Linked DNA regions of Alligator mississippiensis. The protein of the gene in region 1 purifies or fractionates together with the protein of each later gene. This does not show direct contact. Links are inferred from orthologs where the notes say so. Each region holds a gene or a part of one and is shown on either strand. Other genes may lie near its edges.

What was found.
Region 2: the proteins of UBE2O (region 1) and EPB41L5 purify together in Homo sapiens (affinity purification with mass spectrometry; 3 studies listed by BioGRID and IntAct, counting the BioPlex papers as one, with this or other methods). This does not show direct contact. The link is inferred for Alligator mississippiensis from reciprocal best matches to the Homo sapiens genes UBE2O and EPB41L5.

The regions. Positions count from the first base shown.
Region 1 is NC_081831.1:13,954,425-13,961,884, forward strand, and holds the start of UBE2O ((E3-independent) E2 ubiquitin-conjugating enzyme), read right to left. Parts: upstream 3,015-7,460; 5' UTR 2,991-3,014; coding exon 2,592-2,990; intron 1-2,591. UniProt on the Homo sapiens protein: E2/E3 hybrid ubiquitin-protein ligase that displays both E2 and E3 ligase activities and mediates monoubiquitination of target proteins. Negatively regulates TRAF6-mediated NF-kappa-B activation independently of its E2 activity.
Region 2 is NC_081827.1:248,597,227-248,604,714, reverse strand, and holds the start of EPB41L5 (band 4.1-like protein 5), read left to right. Parts: upstream 1-4,486; 5' UTR 4,487-4,671; intron 4,672-4,682; exon of another isoform or gene 4,683-4,851; intron 4,852-5,165; 5' UTR 5,166-5,170; coding exon 5,171-5,350; intron 5,351-7,488. UniProt on the Homo sapiens protein: Plays a role in the formation and organization of tight junctions during the establishment of polarity in epithelial cells.

The DNA.
Region 1 (7,460 bases):
GGTGAGTAGAGGGAAATTTTCAGACGGGGAAGGGCAGCAAGAAGTCAAAGGGATACGTCTTCCTAAATTCCTTCAGCACTTTGGAATTCCCCCGACAACACATTTTATCTGTTAAGTCTCTGACCTTTGCAAAGGAAATAGGGCAATAAAAGAGAAAGGAAAAAGGCTACTAATTTAAACAACCTCTTTTGATTTCTCATAGCAAGAGAGCCAAGCCTTCTGCCTATACTGAAGAGAGGAAAAAAAGGTGCCATGAGAAAATGGATACTGCTATTTTCTACTCAAGGACCCTGATAATGAATCCTAAATTCGAAGCTTCATGCTTTAGGTGCCAAAAATTGATTTAAGAGCTTAACTCCAGTCATTTTTAAAAGAATTTTCGTGTGAAAAGGAACGATTGCCTGATGGACCACAAGTCCAAGAAGGGTTGAAAAATAAATGCAGAAATACTGTGCATAGTACTAATAGCCTTCTATATTTCATATTGTGTGCCTTAACTGTTCACGTGCCTGGTGATGACAGACCCTAAATTTAGCTCAGACCATTAGCATTTTATGATCCTACCGATTTCTACTAGAATTACAAATGCACTGATTGCTTCAGAAGTCCAGGGAGGATTCTACAGAGGGAGGTCAAAGACTGTGCAGAGAGCGCGCGCATGCTTGCACTTAGCCCCACAGAGCAGAATACAACCTCTCTGCTGCCAGGACAGCACAGGCCTTCTGTTTTGTTCTGCGTGACGCCCATTCATCACAGACCCCTTTGTATTATGATACAGTGCCCTCTCTCTCCCTCTCTTTTGTCTCCCCTGTATTATCAGTCACTGTGTGTAACAATCCCACCACTAGGCTAACTTTGGGAAGTGGGAGCAGTGGAAAAGCAGGCCTCAAATCCTTCCAGCAATGCCTTGCAGCTCTTCAAAGAGGGGTAAAGGGGTTGAACTTTACACAGGCCTGACTGCCAGCAAGGACCACTGGAGAGAAAAACAAGGGTAAATCCATGAATCCACCCTGGTCTAAAACCTTCAGCTGGTCAAGCCTAGCACAGACATCTCACACATTCCATATGAGAAGGAGATATAGGATATACGCTGTACCGGCTTCTACCGAGAGTGGAGAAACTCCTTTATGACCTCTTCACAGTTTAATTCACCTTCACATACTAACAGTTTTCAAATCTTTGGGTGGGGAAAGAAGGGGAGGCTCATTTTCAACCAAAAAACCCAGGCTGGCCCGGGGTGGCTGCCTCTAGACTCTGCACGGTCTGTAGTTGAGACTCAAGCAGAATCCAACACCAAGTTTGAACATGTCGAGACCTGATGTGGCTCATTTCCCCCTCCTCCCAAACACACCAGCACCAGCAGACGCGAGGAACCCGCTGCGCTTCCAAAGGAAACGAGGAATTATTTTAAGCCACGGCGACTCCAGGCCGCGCTGGCTCCCAGCAGCAGCCGTGCAAAGCAGCCCAGCAACTGGGGCACAGGGTGGCTGTGGGGCATGCCTACAGGCTCAGCTGGCTGAGGTAGGCCACCGCGGCCCCCGGGGTCCCCCCGTCCCTCGCGCACCGAGGCAGCGACCGGCTTCCAAGCAATGTGCCTTTCATTCAGACATGGCTGCAGCCAACGCGCGTGCCTGACACCCCGGGCCAGCCCAGATGCATGGGGGGGCTGCACACCTGGGGGCAAAACTTGACTTTAGCAGGAGACAAGCAGCACTGGGGGGTGCCAGTGAATTTCAGATCCGGGTGGGGCCCGGCCTGGTAACACGGGCAGACGTCACATTGCACCAGGATTGGGGCCAGGGTGGGGAGCACTATGGCGTGGGGGGGTTCTGGTTCAATACATGCATATATCATAATACATTCCCTTAATACGTGGGGATGGGGAGATTCGGGGTGCAGCCCCCACACAAATACATGCATACTACGCAAATATATACATATATGCCAATGGGCCCATTTAATAAGTAAATATGAGGGGATGGGGAGCATGGTTCAGGGTGCTGCCCCTGCACACAAATAGACACTATGCAAATATATTATATGCGCTAATGCCCCCACTTAACATGCAAATATGCAGGGATGGGGGTGGGGTTCAGGATGCAGCCACCAGAGACAAATACATAGATAGTATGGAGATACATTATATGTGCTAATACCCCCACTTAACGTGCAAATAGGAGGGGAGGGGGCTTGGGGTGCACCCTCACACATGAAGACTAAGGTGGTGTACAAATATATGACTATCCCCACTTCATATACGAATACACGGGGACGGGGGACTCAGGGCGCAGCCCCCACTGATGAGTAGGTAGATATTATGCAAATATATACAGGTATCCCCGCTTAACAGGGACAGAGGAGGGGACGGGGCGGTTTGGGGTGCAGCCCCCATACCTTAATCGGCAGGCATTAGGCAAATACATGCATGTGTGCTAATGTCCCCACTTAATAGGCACAGGCGCGGGGCCGGGCGGTCTGGGCGCGCCCCGCACGCGGCACGCAGGTGGTGTGCCACCGCACGCCAGGGTCCCGCTCGACACGCGCCCCGAGGTGCTCACGCGGCGGCCGGGCCGGGCCGGGCCGGGCCCCACCTTGGTCTCCTTGACGTGCTGCTTGACGCCCTCGGGGTACCACTGCACCCGCACGTAGCCGCGGCGCAGGGGGCTGGCTCGGCTCTCGTCCGCGCCGCCGGCCCCGGGCGCGCCCGACTCGGAGCCGCCCGAGCTGCCGGCGCCGGCGCCGGCGCCGCGGCCGCCCTCGTCCTCCTCAGAGTCCGAGTCCTCGCCGTGGATGAGCCGCACCAGGCCGAAGCGCACGGCGCCCCGGTAGCGCCCCGACACCAGGTCGTGCGAGAAGAGCAGGCGCTGCGAGCCGGCGGCGGGGGGCTCGGGCGCGGCGGTGGCGGCGGGGGGCTCGGGCTCAGGCTCGGCCGGCGCTGGAGCCGGAGCCGGGGCCGGGGCCGGCGCGGGCGCTGCGGGCTGCTCCGCCATGGCGCCGGTCTGCGTGAGCGGGGGGCGCCGCGGGCAGGAGGCGGCGGGGGCGGGGCCAGGTCGCGTCACGGCCGGGGGGGCGGGGCTGGAGGCGGGCCCCCGCCCACTGCGCGACGGCGAGACTCGCGTCAAGGCCCCACCCACCGCGGGCTGCTCGGACGCTACGTGTGCCAGACAGCGGTAGCCCCGCCCACTGCCGGGAGCCGGATGTTAGCCCGCCCCTTCGGGAGACGCGTCACGGCCCGGCGGCGAGGCCCCGCCCACCGCGGGCAGCCCGGGAGTGACGTCTCCCTGCCTGCGGTAAGCCCCGCCCGCCACCGGGAGCCGGATGTTGGCCCGCCCCTTCGGGAGACGCGTCTCTCCGAGGGGATTTGGGCAGGGCCCTGCCTTCAGTCAGTGGCAGAGGAGTGCTGCCCACCTCGCTCGTGGTGTCATAGTTGTTAGGGGCTGGAAGGGACCTTGCAGATCATCGGGTCCAGCCCCCCTGCACGTGGGCAGGACAGACCGCTGGGGTCAGATGCCCCAGCAAGGTGGGCGTCAAGACACTTTGTACCCATTGTATCTTGTCCTCTGCTGGGGGGGCCTTGGTGAATAGATGCTCCCCCAGGCCCTGATGTGCGCCCCTCATAGACTTATAGTCCCCTCTGTGTCTGGGGACACGGCTCCCCTGCTCCCGGGGAGCAGCCATCGTGCCGGAGGGCTTCTTGTGCAGGATTTTTGCTCCCCCCCCAAGGCTTGAGACTTCATTTTGCAGAGGAAAGGTGTCACCCCCTGGTTGTGGAAGGAGCCGCCCTGTGCCAGGCCCTTCCCCAGGGCAGGGGTGGCCATCTCTGTATCGCCCTGGAGTCACAGGGCTCGGAAATTGGTGCCGCATCTGGACCTAGCCAGCACTGAACGAAAAGGGAAATCGTGAATAAAACAGATGTTTTTCCTCTGCAAAATAAAGTCTCAAGACTTGGGTGGGGAGGAGCAAACATCCTGCATTAGGTGCTGGCAAGCAGGGCAGGGCTGAGCATGCGTGTGCCTGTGCCCCCCTCCCCTGCATCCTCCCAGCCCTACTGAGCAGCATCCCTTTGTGCCCTTACCCCCGTGTGCTGGTCCAGCGCCGTGCTGGGGGTCCCTGGTCATGCTTCATCAGGCCTCGCCTGACTTCCTGGTGCCCCTGCTGATGCCCAGCCTAACAGCAGCAGAAGAGGGCTCCACAACCTTCTTCCCTGTCTGATCTTCCCCCACCTGTAGCCCCACGTGCACAGCCCGTGTCTCCATGTGCTCTGCCAGCCCAGACCCTTTGCCAGCTGGCGTCTGATGCCTCAGGTGCACATTGCCCTGGAGACTGGTCTGCTGCACTAGGACCCCCCTACTCCAGCTCCCTGTGAGCTTGTGATCCTACTGCTCTAGGGTCTGCATGGCTGACTCCAGGTCTCCAGGGGGAGGTTAAGGTATTAGTTTTAATCCTTAAAGCCCTACGTGGCTGGGGAGTCTGGATCTACCTGCTAAATGGTCTATGGCTGTCCACGATCCCAGATGCACTCGAGCTGAATCCTCCTTGATATAGCTGAGGGGGAGTGCTCAGCAGCCTGATATCCATAAACTGAGAAATTTACTGTTCACCTTGGTATGAAGAGGCTTAAGTCAGCTGAGTTGGAGATAGCCTGGCACGGCTCCTTTGTTTCCTTCTGGGAAGGGAGGGAGAGGCTCCTCAAATGCTGTTTTTCATGAGCTGGGAGGGATATGGAGTAGTTTCAACTTTCACTTTAGGGGCAAGGCCATTTCTGTTGTGGGGAGAAGAGAAGGGGATGAGGAAGTTTCATTGGTGTGTAACTGTAGATTAAACATGTTTCAAGCCACCTTTCTCATCCTCAGCCCTGCTCTGAAGATGGTCTCAGAGACCCATAGACTGTACGTGAGCCCCAAGGAGTAGGAGAAGCAGAGGTATCTAGAGCTTGGACACCAGACCAGCTGCAAAACAAAGAACACCACCCGGTCTCACTCCTGAGGCAGTGCCTAATCTGCCAGGCCCATGTGTCCTAAGGGGAGCATTTCCACTGGCTGCAAAGAAGACCAAAGATACAAATAATTTCAAGCCACTCCATGGCCTAGGCCCAGAGCACCTAATATAGTGCCTCAAACTCCAGGATGAAGATGATGGTTGACAATGTCCCTCTTGGAATTTGGGTAAAACTCATGTTTACAAGAGACAGAATTTTCTTAGGGGCTGATCCTAGTGTGTTGAATGAAATCCCGTGGAAAAGGCCACAAACATTACTACCTGCTCCTCACTATGTTGCAGATCAAAGCCCATTACTTGACCTCTTCCATTTGAGTGAATGGTTGTTAGTCCCAAGGTTTCTCCCAAAGGAAAAGAAATCCAGCAATGCAATCAAGTACCAGCAAAAATACTCCCTCGTATTTCCAGGTCCCCTTGACTCTGGGGGACAAGATCCACCCATAGTCCAAAGAGTGGCTGTGTGTTTCCCAACTTTATGCCAACAAGTTGTGTTGACAGAATGCAACTGTGCATGTAAGTGTGTTTTAAAGGATTCATGTTGTACTCCAAGTCAGACTAGGGTAAATATGGAGTGACGTGATTGACTTCCCCAGCAATCTTCCAGAGTTACAACCACGTGCAGTGTCAGATCAGTGAAAAGGATATAGCAAGCCAAGGTATTACATTTCTGTTCTCAGCTGCCAGAATGGGCTGTTGGGAATCTCTAGGTAGAAGCTAGATCAATTCTTGGACTGTTCTAGCATATGCGTGGTGATAAAATGATCCCCCGTTGTCTCAAAATTAGGAAACTGCAAAGGTGATACAAAGCCATCGTTTCTTCCTCCTTTTTAGGTTTGGCAAAGCTAGAACCAAATATTAGGAGCCTAATCTCTAAGTATAAGGGAAAGGATATAGCTTTATAACACTGTTATTTTGCCTCTAAGAGCATCTCTCAACATTAATCATGGCTTCTTTTGTGATTTCACACCTGGAAACAGAGCAGTGGGTGGAAGGATTCATTGTCTTTTGGGGTAGAAAAGGATAGCATCAATCAAGAAAGAAATGTTAAGTCTCTTATATATGTCAGGTTGAGATAAAACATTCATGAATAGGGGTGAGGAGTGCTTTTAATACTATGAAGCCATTATCTGCATACCATAGAGGCCAGCGATGTGTAACAGCCACTAATTAGTTGCTCACAAGGGGAGAGGAACAGTGGGCATAAACTCAGTGATAAAACACGCTCTAGCCCGACTTGAAGTTGATGGTGCTTCATGTGCGATACTCCACTGTGATGGTGCTAGGGAAGGGGCTGAAGTGGAGGGGATTACTAATTTGTCTGCATGTCCTGGTCACCTTCTCAGCATAGCCACTTCACCTTCAAGGCAATGGCAAGGTGGTTGGCCATTGATACTGTGTCCTTTGAAACCAGGCTGATGTCACTGGAAACAGAAGCGAGTCTTTAGGGATTAAAGGATCTTTAGGATTCCGCTGGACTGGGTAATTTGGACTAGAACAAGTGGTTACGTTCTTTCCATCGTTGACAGAAAAGGATTTTATGTGGCAGCATTCTGGCAGTCCCCAGGCTTTTTCCATCTTCTCTCTGCAGCTTGTACCAACACTGCTTTTAAAAATAATTTATTCCTGGGCATAAATCATGAGTTTATTTGGAACTACCTGGTATTCAGAGTAATTCCCCTCTGTAGAACACCGTTTGGACTTCAGGTTGTACATAGCCGTATGATGCAAATGGGGAGATGAAACTGTTCACCAGAAATGCAACACAGGCGTTTTAATGGAACCCAATCAGGAGTATTTGTTTGTCAGGAACAGAGCAGGTGAGAGCTATTTTCTTCCCTATACTCCTAACTGTGGCTCTGAGGTACTCTCATATGGAAGCACACTTCACTTGTTGGTAAAGAGATCACCTTTGGTTTTAGACTCAGTAGCACAGCATCTGAGCTGCTTCTCCAGACTGACATACTGCTGCTGGCTTTCTGTCCCATGGAAGGACACAGGATAGGAGGAAGGAACAGCTTCTATTAGGTTGACCATGGTAGTAAGACTTAGGAATTTGGGGTTCAGTTCTCAAATCTACCCATGACTTGCCAAGTGAACTCAGGTGAAAAAAGAAATAGCGGCTGATTTTAATTGTGTCACATTCTAGATGCCCAAATTGTGCCAAAAATTCAGACTATCTGTGAAGCCCTGGATCTCCCAGTTTCCTCAGCTACAGTAGTGAATACTCAGCAGTTCTGAAAAGTGAAGCATGTAAAACTGTGCACCCAAAATAGACACACCTTTAAATCAGCGGTTATTTTTGGAAACACTGGCCTTCATCTCTTGGTGGATCAACAGCCCGTCCCTAGTAAAACACATCCCTGATACAAAGCAGTGGTTGCAAGACTTGATTTACTAATGTGTGTCCTCCTGGTCTATGGATAGGTGTTGTCCCTGACCCCAGTGCAGGGATGATATGTGAA
Region 2 (7,488 bases), on another chromosome or scaffold:
AAGGAGAGCAGGGAGCTCCCAGCTACCTGTGCCCTGCACCCTCTGTCCCAGTGCCCAGGGAGCTCTTCAGGGTGCTGAGGCACAGCGTCCCCACCGCGGACCTTAAACAGCTCTTTTTCGGCTGCCAGATGTCAGGGACAAGGCTCCCAGCAAAGTTTAATGTCCCCAGTGGTGGGAACCCTTTGGCTTCCCCACCCCTGCCCCAACTGGGAGCCTCTGATCCCCCTCCCAGAGCACAGCCAGAGCTGCCGAGCGCAGGGGTTTTGACAATCAGCTGATTGTTGGCAGGGCTGAGAGTCCCACAGGGCTATCCCAGCAAGACCTAACACATTTCATTGTCGTCTCCAGACAGACCCCAGTCCTGTCCAGGGTTGGGGCCAACAATCGATTGTGTTTGTCCAGGCCTTGACAATCGGCTGATTGTCAGCCCAGACCACACCACAGCTGATTGGAGTCCCTGGCAGGGTCCCATGCTCCAGGTGACAATCGGTTGATTATCAGCCTGGCTGGACCTGCGAGCACTGCTCTGACAACTCGTTGGTGCATGGGGGGACCTGGGGTCTCCCTGCACTGGCAAGTAGTAATGAACTGACTGAGAACCAGTAACCTGGGAATCTCTTTGGTTACCAGCTTGTTTGTAGGATAGGATTTACTTGGTCCTTTTCATATGAATATACCCCTGAATTCTCTGCAGTAAAGGAGGTATGGTACAGCAGTAGTTTTACACACTGCATCTGCTCTGCTGCTCAATCAACACTGCCACACAGGTCCACTCTGCCCCCAATGAAAGGCAGGAGCAAACCAGCTCTGGATCCAACTGGTAACCCACCTGTGGGAATAAGATTTTAAACCCTAATGAGCTTGTATTTCTCCAGGTTTTTCTTCAGGGGCTTCCCTATCCCTCCATGAAGGATCGCTAGGGTATCAGTCTCTCTATGAAGGGCCCAAATAGAGAAAATTAATTTGCATTCATCTTGCAAACCAAAGCCCGGTAGCACCCTGTGCTTCTTCTTTGGCAATACAAATGAGTCAAAGGCAGGATGACTTAGCCTGAAAGCCTCTTTCTAAACAGCTATCTGCTTCACTACATGGTTCCTATCCTTATTTCTCTGTAGATATGAATATTATTTCATGGGATGTTAGTTTAATTCCTCAGGAGTAGTCATGTGTTTGCTTTCAAGGTGAATGGGAGCTATGCCTCACAAATAAAAAAGAAGGGTGCTGAGCCATCATAAAATGTCTGTGGGGGAAGTGGTGGCTCTGCCTAAGCTGCATGCAAGTTTATTTGCAATGGTGTTACATTTTAGCCAAGGGCAGTGCTCATTTCATAGAGAAATAAGGCTGGATTGGACTTCAAGCAATCATCTAGCCCATCCTGGGATTGAACCTGCAACCTCTATGTTGTTAACACCATACTCTAACTAACTCAGCTATATTTCTAAGTAAATATACCCTTTTTCCTGCTTTCCCCCATTTAGCTTCCTGCTTCATTTTGTTCTAAGGTCATGAGCTTTTAAGCAAAATCAGCACCTGGCTGAGAGAAGAGATACTGCAAAAAATGGGGTTGGGGCTCAGACATCATGCCAAGGACCACAGAAAGAGGGGAACAGAGAGGGTTGCAGGGAAGCATGAGGGGCAGGGACAGAAAGGGGAAACAGGACTGAAATGGGCCAAGGAAATGGGAATCTGAAGGAAAGGGTGAGAGATTTAGGGCCCTGAGGGGTTGGGTGGGAGATGAGGTCTGCGACAAGAGCACGGAGGGAAGGAAAGCTCCTTTGTTTCTACCACTGCAGCGTCTTGCCCTCCTGTTTTCCAAAAAATGCAAGCTGGGGGATGAGGACAAAGGCCAGGAGACAGGGTTAGGGCTAAGTGACAGGGTTGGAGGGAGATGAAATAATTCCTCCCTGCCCCAGGGAGATAGAGGCCATGCTCCAAAGCGGCAGACAGGCCTGTATTTACATTTATTTCAAACTTTAAATGGTCACACGATAATGTGGGGGCTGGCAGCTCCCTCCTCCACTCTGCAAAAGCAGAAGTCCGGTCTGTTGGAGAGGAGAAGAGTTGGGGGTTGTCCACATGCTGGTTCTGGAGGATTGAGGGGGCTTAGCCGTGTGGATGCTGGGGTTGGTAATACCAAAGAGCCGGAGAAGGAAATACCTTTCAGTAGCAGCCCAGTGTATGCAAAAGTATGGTTTCTGCATCTGGGAAGTGCCTGTATTTGCACAGCACAGGAAAGAGAGCTGTGCATCTACCAGAATATCTTGCCCTTCGCAGCAAAGATTGTTTTGGAGATCACAAGACTATCCGAAAATGCCAAATACAAGCCTAGCTGGACAAATCTGAGCTAGGTTTGTGAACCTGTCAGGGAAAAAGAACCAGCTTATGCTTGGCAACTGGAAACAAAGTCTTATGGGCAGCCCTAAATTGTTTCTCTTCAGTGGTTGTAAGCAAAATGGCATTTGAGAAACCAGAGCAAGAAGCAGTTGATAGCAACTGTGCCCAGACCAGGATGTCTGTGCCCTGAGTCCAGTCTGTGTCCTGACTTTGCAGATATCATGTTATCCACCATGGTCTGGCCTAATGGAGAGGAGAAAACACCTTTTATGCTTTGTAGCTCATCTAATCAGAGGGGTTGGAGCAGCAGAAATCTTAGGGTCGGAAGGATATCGTGCAGAGGTGGCCAGCCTGTGGCACAATTGCCACAAGTGGCATGTGCAGCCTGTGTGTGGCATGCAGCAGATAGGGCAGAAAGCAGAGGAGGAGATAGGTCAGGGAGCGCAGAGAAACAGGCAGAGGAAGGGAATCGGCATGGCACTTGGAGAGAGGACATGGCTAATTTGTAGCACCCCTGCCAAAAAAGATCAGTTCCCACTGATTTAATCCTGGTCCCTGCACAGATACTCTTCCTAAACCATCCCTGACAGGTGCCTGTCCAGCCTTTTGGAAACCTCCGGCGGAGAAGAGTCGACCACGGCCCCGCTGCTCTGACACCCCAGATGCTTTTTCTGAGCTTGAAGCTAAATCTGCCTCCCTGCAGTTTGGACCTGTTGCTTTGTGTCCTGTCCTCTCTGGGAGAGGAGAAGAGCTGGTCCCCTTCTCTGTGGCAGCTTTGCCAGGATGTGAACCCTGCTCTCCTGAATCTCCTCCTCCTCCAAACTAAATGCACCTTGTTCTCTCAGACTTTTCTCAGGGGACCTCTCCAGTTTCTCTACATCCTTTGTAAACCACAGAGCCCAGAACCACGCGCTGGACTCCCGCCGAGGCATAACGGAGAGGAGAGCGGTATTGCACAGCCCTCCGGCAAAGACACCCCCGGCCTGCATCGGCCTGCTAGTGTTGGCTCCCGTGGGGCATCCCAGGGAGGTGGTTAGCCACATTCATCCGAGGGCAGGTAGAAGGCAAGGTAGATTTGCACCTTTTATAGACTAACCAATTTGTGCGTGCACATATGCACACAAATACATACACTTGTGTGTGCATATACATAAGGACAGCGTGTGTGTGCGCATCTGCTTGTACATGCATTATGTGTGTATAATCGCTGTCTTGCTCTCCTCTCTCAAGGTTTTGTGGATTTACAGGCATTGGTTGTTTGCAGACAGGAATTCACCGGAGTGCAGACAGGGCCATGTCCGGGCTCGTTACTGCAGAGGGCTTAATTAAAAGCCTCCGTGCACTGGGAGCTGGTTTGTCCCCACCTTGCTGGGGCTGTCATTATCTCGTTGTGTGCAGCCCTGGTAGGGGCAGGTGGGAATCGCCAGCTCCTGCCTGGGACTGGCTGGGCGAGCGAGACTTTGCGTGGGCAAGGCGGGGAGGAGATTTTTTTTTTTTTAATTTAAAAGGGGGAAGGAGGGCGGTAATTGCAATGAACCCACCTGCCTTCATAATGGTGCACCTCACATGTATAAAATCACATTTAATGGGGGGGAGGTGTACTATAATCTTTTAACAAAGTTTAATTTTATATATATCTCACTGTCCTATATTAAAATAGGAAATATTTTATTTTCTAACCCTGTGTGTGTGTGTGTGTGTGTGTGTGTGTGTGTGTGTGTGTGTATGGATACATATTATAGGGTATATATTATGATATCTTACATAGTGTGCATGTGCATGTATGTGTGTGTGTGCATATATAGGGGGGGGGGTGTAAGATATCATAGCAGGTTATATGACCTACACCTGTACTAGTATGTGTGTATACATCTCGTTTACCATCAGGAAAAAATATATACACTATGTATGTATAGTATCTATAATGTATGACACACTTTTGCGCACACACGTGAGAGTGAGTGCGAGTCCCGGTCCGCCCGCAGCTGCCGTCGCTCCGTGCACGCCCTGTGCCCCCCCCCCCCCCCAGCGCGGGGCCCCGCCCCTTTAAGGCGGCTCAGGTCGGCACAGCGCAGCCACCTCCCTCCGCGGCGACCCCTGCCCCTTTAACAGCAACGGGCGCAGCAGTGCGGCCCCACTTAAAGGCGCGCGGCCTCGGCGGGATTCCTTCCCCCCGACCCTCACGGCCTGACGCGGGCCGCTCCGCACCAACCCCTTTAAGCGCGGGGCTGGGGTGTGAGGGGCCGCCATCTTGGCCGCTGAGGCCCCTCCCCCCCGTCGTTGCCGCCGCCTCAGCCTCACGATCCGTCGCCGGGGCCTCCGCGCCGCCGCCCGCAGGTGAGTGGGCCCCGTGTGTGTGCCCGCCGGTGTGTGTGCACGCTCTGCATACACCTGGGAAGATGCTCCCGCGGCCCTGAGGCGGGTCCGTCCGTCCGTCCCGACAGGACACGAGACGTGCGCGCGTCGCGTTCCGTTTCGGCCGCGCCGCAAACGCTGCCAAACGGGCGCGGTGAGCAGGTGCGTCCCGACCCAGTTGGATCCCAACCGGTCGCTTAAAATCCAGATCGCGCACTGATATGTATATAATATGCATATCTGTATTATTATATATATATGTGTGTGTATAATTATCTCATTATATATGTGTGTGTGTGTGTGTATATTATAACATTATAAGAGATACGATACAACGTGATGATTTCCTGCAGACCTGTGTACCTACGCCAGCCACGCAGGTACATGCTTGGGTTTGGTCACTAGATTTCGTATTATCGATTGATTTTTGTTCACGGAAACGTTAACCGTCGCGCTTTCTTCTCCCTTCCCGGCAGCAAAGATGCTGAGTTTCTTTCGGCGCACCCTGGGACGCCGGTCCATCCGCAAGCACGTCGAGAAGGAGCGGCTGAGGGAGGCCCAGAGGGCTGCCACCCACATCCCCGCGGCGGGAGACGCGAGGTCCGTCATCACGTGCCGAGTGTCCTTGCTGGACGGCACCGACGTCAGCGTGGACTTGCCGGTATGAGAAATACAGCGCTGGGTTTTGTTTTAAACCCCACCGCCCTGGTAACCCGGGGTCGTGTTCGTCCCTCGTTATAAATAGGTGCTGAAAGAGCGATGCGTTCGGTTGCGTGGATTATGCCGAATGCTTTTCATCGGGGTAACGTGTGCGCGCTACGGTCGGCTCTTGTTTTGGAGGAGAGATGTTAATAAATACACAGGGAGAGATTTGTATTTCCTGTTGGAGGATCTGGGTGTGTCTATTGAGGGGAGTATTACTGCGCATGCTGAATAGTTTCTCTGGCGTTTGGTTTTCTCTTTCTTTCATATGTGTGCATTCAGATAAGTGCTGATATGCGCGTTTCCAGAAAGACCCCTCTTTATAAAAATGAAGTGATGAGAGTTGGGATTCTTTGCAGGGTTTGTTATGGGATATTGTTGTGTCCGGGATGGATCTGTCCAAAAATATTAAAGCGGCATCAAGAGCTGAAGGGCGTGTTTGGTTTGCGTTGCGGTGTGTTGGCCGACAGGCTGGACAGCGGGTGACTCGTGCCGTTCATCTCTTCTTTCCACTTGCACCGGTTAGAGTAGTCGTGGTTCGCTGGGTTGAATTTGGGCAAGCCTGGCTTCGGTGAAGCCCTCTTGGCCTCTGACTGGGTCCCAAGAGATACTGGTGTGTGTGTTTGGGTGGGAGGGATGTTCCTCCATGGCTGGTGCCCTCGGTTAGGAAGAGTACGCAGTGCAGCCACTCGAAAGACAGATGGACTTTTCTCTTGTAAACGTTCAAGGGTCTGAACTTTCCCCAGCATTGCGAAGGCTGCGTGCCGGACTGCCGAGCAGTATTGAAACGATAGTCTGGTGCGGTGATGAGAAAAGAATTCCTTTCTCCAAGAATGGAAACCCCAAATACCTGGATATTTAACCCCCCCCCCCCAAAATAATTACAGTAATATGCTCTGAAGTGACTGTATTATAGACACTTGCAGTGAACAGTAAAATTAATGTGTACAGCCCTGTAAACGTGGAAATAATCCAGTTAACATGCCCAGTACAGTTCCATGTGCAAGATGCTTGATTTGAGGCCAGAAACGCCCACGGATACTTCATAGAGGTAACTGCAAATGGAAATACTAAAGTTTTATTGGTGTCTCTACACAAACAGTGGCGGTCTTTCTGGGACTGGAGTTGGCACTACAGGCGAATTCCTGGTGCCTCATTTCAAGTGCTGTTAGAAACATAAATTGAGCTTGGAGAGGTGTCATGCTCATGATCTATCGCCCAGGCTATTAAATTTTAATATGAGGTTTTAATAGTGACAGTTTTCTCTTTAAAAGAAAACGACTGCTCCCCTTTCTTCCCCCCTCTCTGTGACTTTCCAGCTTTTCTTTTAGTCAAGGGACAACTCTGGAAAAGGTACTGCTTACAGGCACCCTTGCTTTTCAGCAAGCTCTGCCTGTGGTTTTCTGAGGGAAGAGTTAACTAAATGAGTATACGGCTAGGTGTAATATTTGTAGCTGCCATCAGACACTAGCATGAACTTTTTCTTTCTACAGCAAGTGTTTAGTGGGTTCCTTAGGAGCTTTCTGTCACTTTTGAGGATGACTTCTTATTCATCTGTGATTTCTGACACCTTGCACTTGGGCCTTAGGGAGGGAGAGAAGGAAGAAAACTTAGGAAATTCATGAAGAAGGAAAAGATTGTTACTACTAGGTAGTGTGAAAAGTGTATGGGCTGTGGGGTAAGGGATCGTTTCTAACTAACAAACAGTCTCTTTGCAAAATGAAGCTCCAGTTTCTTGTTGCTTCTCCTCTTGTCCTGGCTGTGGCCATGGCTACACTAGTTGTTGCCCTGAGACAGTGACCCTGAAAGTAGAAATCTGGAAATACCTGCCTTGAAACAACTATACTGTATGTCCTTAGTTGTTGTTGGAAAACTAGAACCAGGATAACATTTCCCACGTTAGGGTAGATTCATTTCTTTATTAGTGTGTATCAGGTGCTGAGCTCTTTCTTTTGGGACAACTGGAATATTCCTGAAAGAGCTGGTCCATGTGCCAGTGGCATTCATTTTTAAGACACACGCCTTTCTGTGGCTAGAGTTTGGGAAGCATTTCACTACTCATGGGCCTGATGGTCAGACCTGGACCGTAAGGGAAGC